Linked DNA regions of Nothobranchius furzeri. The protein of the gene in region 1 binds, or shares a complex with, the protein of each later gene. Links are inferred from orthologs where the notes say so. Each region holds a gene or a part of one and is shown on either strand. Other genes may lie near its edges.

Region 1 (3,824 bases):
CCCTCACTATGCGTATGGGTCTGCCAGGTCTATGCGGCATCTTCCCCTACCATCTGATCCAACTCACCACCAGTTGGTGATCAGTTGACAGCTCCGCTCCTCTCTTCACTCGGGTGTCCAAAACATACGGCCGCAGGTCAGATGATACGACTACAAAGTCTATCATCGACCTGCGACCTAGGCTGCCCTGGTACCAAGTGTACCGATGGGCATCCTTATGTTCGAACATGGTGTTCGTTATGGCCGAACTGCGGCTTGCACAGCAGTCCAATAACGAAACCCCACTCGAGTTCAGATCAGGCTCCTCCCAATTAGAAAGAAGCGGCTGCGCATAGAAAACAACTGAATTAGCTCAGAGCTTCGGGGAAACGCAACAAACCACACATGTAGAATCCGGCCTTAAAATAACCACTCAACAGCAGGTTATCTGTTACAGGGTTCATATTTTTTCATGTGTGTAATTCTTAACCTCACCTGTAGAAATACCCCGTGTTGCCTTACCTGGTCCTGGTGCTGAAGCAGTTCCTCCTGCAGAGAGACCTAAACGAGGTTTTCACTGGTGGAATTGGTTCCTACAGTCTCTTTCTCATGGCCGTGAGCTTCCTGCAGGTCTGTCTGTTTCTTTCTTGTTTAGAATAAGAAAAAAGTCGTTCCGATTTAAATTTCCGACAGAGCTGAGCTTTAATTCTCATCCACATTATGGAAATTTTATTTGCTTGAGTCCTTCTGTTCCTCAGCTTCACTACAGGGAGGACGTGTCCAGTCCCAACATCAACTACGGAGTTCTGCTGATTGAGTTCTTCGAGCTCTACGGCCGGAACTTCAACTACCTGAAAACGGGCATCAGGATAAAAGATGGCGGCTCCTACGTCGCCAAAGACGAGGTTCAGAAAAGCATGATGGACGGATACAGGCCCTCCATGCTCTACATTGAGGACCCTCTGCAGCCCGGTATGAAGAGGGCGGGAGTCAGAATTCCCTCTAAAGGTGTCACGATTTCACTTTTTTTTACTGCCTTGTGTCGGATAGAAAACGATGTTGGCAGGAGCTCGTACGGCGCCATGCAGGTGAAGCAGGCGTTCGACTACGCCTACATGGTCCTCAGCCACGCAGTGTCACCCATGGCCAAGTACTACCCCAACAACGAGAACGAGAGGTAAGGAGCTGAACCTGTCGGAACAGCTGGGAAAGCTAATGAATTCATCTACAAATAAACATGTGAGTAACAGCCTTTCCTCTTCTGCTGAAGTATCCTCGGCCGGATAATCCGGGTGACTCAGGAAGTGGACGAGTACAGGGATTGGATCCGAAAGAACTGGGGGACCCCCTCTCAGAATGACTCACTTAACAGTATGTTCTTCTCTCTCTGAGCTACAGCTAAACACACACACACACACACACACACACACACACACACACACACACACACACACACACACACACACACACACACACACACACACACACACACACACACACACACACACACACACACACACACACACACACACACACACTCATCTTTCCTCTGCTCCCGCAGGGAACGACGTGACGTTATTCGGGTCTAAGCAGCTCGACGAGCGCAACAACAACGTTCCGGACAACGAGGATGTGGTGGTGGTTCATACGCCGGCTCCCCACAGCAAGTCTTCCTCAAACCTGTCCTCTCCTCCCCTCTCCCTGCCCTCCTCTCCCTCGTCTTCTCCTCTGACGCCGTCTTTTACGTCTTCCAGCGACGCGGTGAGTCCCTGCAGCTACGGACCGAGAATGTTAAAACACATTTAAATACAGAAATAATCTTCACGTACGTGTCGTTGCCTTCTTCCAGGACTCCGATGGAACGCCGTGTAAAACGGCTAAGCAGCAGTCAGGCCGAAGCTCCAGTTCTCACAGAGAGAAGCCTGCAGTGGTCGGGAATCATCGCACGCAGAACCACGCGGCCAGCACTCCGTCTGCAGGACCCAAAGGAGGAAAGGTACTGTCTGCTTCAGCATTGCTATGCAACAATCCTTATCAATTTCTATGTATTGTTTTTATTCTTTTGCTTTTGGTTTTAGTTTCCGACTAAAGCTGATGCAAGAATTACCTACAGTGGTGTGAAAAACTATTTGCCCCATCCTGATTTCTTGTTCTTTTGCATGTTTGTCACACAAAATGTTTCTGATGATCAAACACATTTAACCGTTAGTCAAAGATAACACAAGTAAACACAAAATGCAGTTTTGAAATGATGGATTTTATTATTTAGGGAGAGAACAAAATCCAAGCCTACATTGCCCTGTGTGAAAAAGTAATTGCCCCTCTTGTTCAAAAATAACCCAACTGTGGTGTTTCACACCTGAGTTCAATTTCTGTAGCCACCCCCAAGCCTGATTACTGCCACACCTGTTTCAATCAAGAAATCACTTAAATATGAGCTGCCTGACACAGAGAAGTAGACCAAAAACACCTCAAAAGCTAGACATCAGGCCAAGATCCAAAGAAATTCAAGAACAAATGAGAACAAAAGTAATTGAGATCTATCAGTCTGGTAAAGGTTATAAAGCCATTGCTAAAGCTTTGGGACTCCAGCGAACCACAGTGAGAGCCATTATCCACAAATGGCAACAACATGGAACAGTGGTGAACCTTCCCAGGAGTGGGCGGCCGACCAAAATTACCCCAAGATCGCAGAGGCAACTCATCCGAGAGGTCACAAAAGACCCCAGGACAACTGCAGGCCTCACTTGCCTCCATTAAGGTCAGTGTTCACGACTCCACCATAAGAAAGAGACTAGGCAAAAATGGCCTGCATGGCCGATTTCCAAGACGCAAACCACTGTTAAGCAAAAAGAACATTAGGGCTCGTCTCAGTTTAGCTAAGAAACATCTCAATGATTGCCAAGACTTGTGGGAAAATGCCTCGTGGACTGATGAGACAAAAGTTGAACTTTCTGGAAGGCAAATGTCCCGTTCCATCTGGCGTAGAAGTAACACAGCATTTCAGACAAAGAGCATCATACCAACAGTAAAATATGGTGGTGGTAGTGTGATGGTCTGGGGTTGTGTTGCTGCTTCAGGAACTGGAAGGCTTGCTGTTATAAATGGAACCATGAATTCTACTGTCTACCAAAACATCCTGAAGGAGAATGTCCGGCCATCTGTTGGTCAACTAAAGCTGAAGCCATCTTGGGTGCTGCAGCAGGACAAGGACCCAAAACACACCAGCAAATCCACCTCTGAATGGCTGAAGAACAACAAAATGAAGACGTTGGAGTGGCCTAGTCAATGTCCTGACCTGAATCCTACTGAGATGCTATGGCATGACCTTAAAAAGGCGGTTCATGCTAGAAAACCCTCAAATAAAGCTGAATTACAACAATTCTGCAAAGATGAGTGGGCCAAAATTCCTCCAGAGCGCTGTAAAAGACTCGTAGCAAGTTATCGCAAACGCTTGATTGCAGTTATTGCTGCTAAGGGAGGCCCAACCAGTTATTAGGTTCAGGGGGCAATTACTTTTTCACACAGGGCCATGTAGGTTTGTATTTTGTTCTCTCCCTAAATAATAAAATCCATCATTTCAAAACTGCATTTTGTGTTTACTTGTGTTATCTTTGACTAATGGTTACATGTGTTTGATGATCAGAAACATTTTGTGTGACAAACATGCAAAAGAACAAGAAATCAGGAAAGCGGCAAATAGTTTTTCACACCAGTGTAATTATAATAACGAATTTAGAAAGAAGAAACTGAAAGAGAATTTAAGTAACAGAAAACCAGAAAGGTCTGTGAAAATCACCTTTTTGGTGCTAAGAGACATTTTCTCTCAATCTTGTTCTGTTTGG
Region 2 (3,824 bases), on another chromosome or scaffold:
AGAAAATCTTTCTTTTTTACCTTGCTGCAGACAGTTTCGTTCGCGGCTGCAAACTTCCTCAGAGCTGACGCTGATGGTGGCGTCACTTCCTACTCCGTTTATCCGCTCTCCCCTCCCCGATGATGCAGCAAAGTAAAAAAGAAACCTTTTCTGTGTTTTAAAAAAGAACCAACAATGCAATAATTGTGTTTATGTAAGAAAACAGGAAAACTACAGCAAAATAAGTGACTTTGAATACACAAAAACCAACCCTTTTGCATAAATGAATATTTTGGTAAATATGCCTTTTCTTGTTTCAGGTAGGGTGAAGACACATTAAACCCAAGACCAGCTTTGAATTAGTCAGAAGAAAAGAATCGGAGCACAGTTCGAGACTACTGAGGCTCGTCCCTTAATTTCCTTGCCTTTATTTCCTTCTCTTTTTTTGACAAAGCCCTCCCCCATTCCTCTGACTTTAAGACTCCTTCCACACCACACCCATGACCCCCAATGCGCAGACATGAGGTCAAGCTCCAAAGATCACAGAGAGAAGCCAGACGAAAGACAGAGACCTAAAATCCTGCTTTCCCATCAAAACTAGGCCAAAAACCTCAAGCCATCCCACCAGCTCCAGACCCCCTCCTTTAGTCTGCTTGTGTGTGGAGGAGGCAGTGAGCACTCTTGCAGAAACATCAGCCCAGGGAAATTCAAATGAGGAAGAAATGGTGAGGGACACAGAGAAAGAGAGAGAGGGGAGCACAATAGTGAGAAAATGGGATAAAAGAATGAGATGGAAGAGCATTAGGTAGGAGGGAGGAGGAGGGAGCTGGAGAGGTTGCTGAGGCTGCAGGTTAAGATAATGTGTAGATCTGAAGAGATTTGCAGGGAACATTTTTATTCCATTTCTGATTACTCCCATCTCTCCCTCCCACCCTCTCTCTCTTGTTTGTTTTTGATTTTAACATTATGACTGTTGGCCTCCACGTGGATGTACACGTGCATGTTGATTAGACCTGGAATACTTCAGAAACACACATGCATGCACGTGCAAACACACACACACACTTAAAGATGCATCAGAGAGGCAAATGGCTGGGTAGTGTCAGAAATGCTAAGGGCTTACAAGTTGTGAAAATGCCGACACAGATGCATTAACAGGCAGAATATTGTAGCTGTAACTGGTCCTTATCAATGTGCAGCAGGTAGACTGAATGTTCTCAAGCATTTGAATCAAACAAAATTGGTCTCTGGTTTCATTCTCCTGGCTACACATGTGCAAAAATACAAATAAATCCACAAATTTTAAAACACAAATGAACAAACACACCTGTGCTGTAGTCAGACCCTGCTTCCAGGTTGAGTGAGATGGACTGGTCTCCATCCTGCATCCCTTGACCAAGGATCATCCAGTTCTCTAGATCATCTGAACCCTCTGAGTCTGATGAATCAGTGTCTGATTCAGATTCTGAAGTGTCTGAGCTGCTGGAAATCACCGTCACTGGGACTCCAAGACTGCTTTTCCTAATCTGGATTTCCTAAATGGCCAAACAAGAAAGCATTGGATTAAAAAGTTGTTTTCTGTTTACTTACTGAACTGATCAAACCAACACCTAGTTACAAGTAAAATGTGACATATAGCACAAGTCATCTTGTGTAAAGAGAACAGATTTTTCGTGAGACACTCAATAGCAAAATACATGAACTATGCTTTTTTTTAAATACTTGACTGAGTCTTCCCAAGTACTGTTAGGAGTACTAAGAAATGCTAGTAGACTTCTTATTATTGATGTCACGGTGAGTCTAAAGCCTCTTTTACACAGTGTGGAAGAGATGTGGACTGGACAAGCTGCGGATCATGTGTGGAAAGTCTCCACAACTTTGCTCCTGAGTTCCTGTGATAACAACAAGATGTATCGTGAGGAGCTGCTTATCATATTCTGTGACCTGATATCCCTGTCATTAATAACAAAAAATGAAGCAGACAGAATGATGCAACATGAGCTTGTTTAGAAAAAAAGCAGATAGCCCTCTGGCTCATGTAATATCTTCAACTTCATGACTATCTAAAACCCAAAATCAGAAATATCCTGCATCCCAATCTTCTCTGCAATGCAACGCTTGGATTGGACTCAATGATTTTCGTTCTTTGCAGAAGCCGCATGGATCCTGACCTTGTTTGGTACACACTCAGTGATAAGCCTATTTTATACTTCTCCATCTGTTTTGGTACGGATCTACGTTCTTCTCTGTTGGTACGGAGACACACAATGCCATTATCCGTTGGTGCAAGGGTTCTCCAACAGGCATGCAAGGACGGACGAAGTCAAGCTTACTTGCCTGACAGACAGTAAGAGCGGTTACATGCGCACTGACTGACGTCTAAGTCGATCCGGTTCGATCTTATTGTAATAAGCTGGGGGTCTTTATCCTATTTTTCATGCGCATAAGAAAACCGGCTTCTCAAATCAAGTGTGTTCCACTCCGGTACAGTAGGTGGCGACACGCCCCGTTTCATGTCAGCATTCTACCGGTTAGACTGGTGGGAGTGAAGCAGACAAAAATGAAACAGGATATGCACAACAGCTGAAGGGATGCACAACAACAACGCTGCAGCAAAGTTTCTATGGAATATACTGTGCTGTTTTATTGTGTTACACATGTTGCTTTGTGACAATGGTCTTGTCAGAAGACCGCTTACGCAGTCTCATCACTTCTGTGATGCGAGCGTACTACCAGTTTACTTTGGCTGACCCATTTACATGCGGAATGTACTTGGATTGCTAACGCATTATCTGGGTGCTTCAACTCGATTAAAACCAGTTCACCTTCAACCAGACTAAAACATTTACATGCATTTTAAAAAACTTATGCAAGTCTTTTGAGGGTATTACTTCGGTTTTCTGATGCACATGTAAACGCACTGACTGAGCAGCTTGAAGAATACCTTGCGGAAAAACTCTGAAAATAGGAACGATTATTCACCCGTGAAATGGAAAAAAACCTGAAGAAGTTTGTAATTACCTAGCTGTTTACAGTCGCACTTGAGACCAATGAGAGACCTTAAGGTAGAAGCAACAAGCTATATCCTGCAACAAAAAAGTTGTTATTGAAATCTGGGACCCCATGTTGGCCATGGAAGGCCAAATTATCTCAAACTCTTTTGAACATGTTTTTTAGTTTGTTTCAGTGATTTTTATCCGATCACATTTTTTTGTGGTTCATTCACAGAGAAAATAAAGCTCGTTTTTACCTTTGCTGACATGTTTCGACGTCTACTGCTGCCCTCATCAGAGCAACTTCTGAAGTTGGTGGCGTTTCTTCCATTTATCTGTGGGTAGCAGATGACTATCTCACCTTCTATTGCCCGCCCCTTCTCCGTTGATCAAAAAAGCTACTTAGATAAGGAACATGAACAGAAATGAAGGCCCACTCATGGAACTTGATCAACCAACACACAGGAAAGGCGCAGGCAGTAGTAGGTGATATCATCCTCTGCTGCCCGCAGATAAACGGAAATGACGCCACCAGGGCTGAACGATTAATTGCATATGCAATTAAATAGCGATGTGACAAAAGGAGACTTTTCTAATCGCAAAGGCAGCGATCTGACTGGAAAGTGATTAGCACAGTGCTAATATACATGGAAAAACCCATAGGGATGCTAATGCTAATATCGTTGATTACTTTCTTACAAATTACGAACTAGGAACGTGCCAATTGATTACATTTGGAATCTAATAGGGCTGCATGAAATAAGGAAAACCTACAATATTTGATAACAATGATTAATATTGCGATGACGATATTACTTGCGATAAATAAAACTTAACTCAGGAACAAAAATG

The links.
Region 2: tent4b (region 1) and zcchc7 share a complex: the UniProt entries of both Homo sapiens proteins name them as parts of the nucleolar TRAMP-like complex. The link is inferred for Nothobranchius furzeri from reciprocal best matches to the Homo sapiens genes TENT4B and ZCCHC7.

The regions. Positions count from the first base shown.
Region 1 is NC_091749.1:70,469,085-70,472,908, forward strand, and holds part of tent4b (terminal nucleotidyltransferase 4B), read left to right. Parts: intron 1-480; coding exon 481-609; intron 610-737; coding exon 738-951; intron 952-1,029; coding exon 1,030-1,156; intron 1,157-1,249; coding exon 1,250-1,350; intron 1,351-1,540; coding exon 1,541-1,740; intron 1,741-1,828; coding exon 1,829-1,975; intron 1,976-3,824. UniProt on the Homo sapiens protein: Terminal nucleotidyltransferase that catalyzes preferentially the transfer of ATP and GTP on RNA 3' poly(A) tail creating a heterogeneous 3' poly(A) tail leading to mRNAs stabilization by protecting mRNAs from active deadenylation.
Region 2 is NC_091747.1:79,080,976-79,084,799, forward strand, and holds part of zcchc7 (zinc finger CCHC domain-containing protein 7), read right to left. Parts: intron 1,515-3,824; coding exon 1,307-1,514; intron 1-1,306.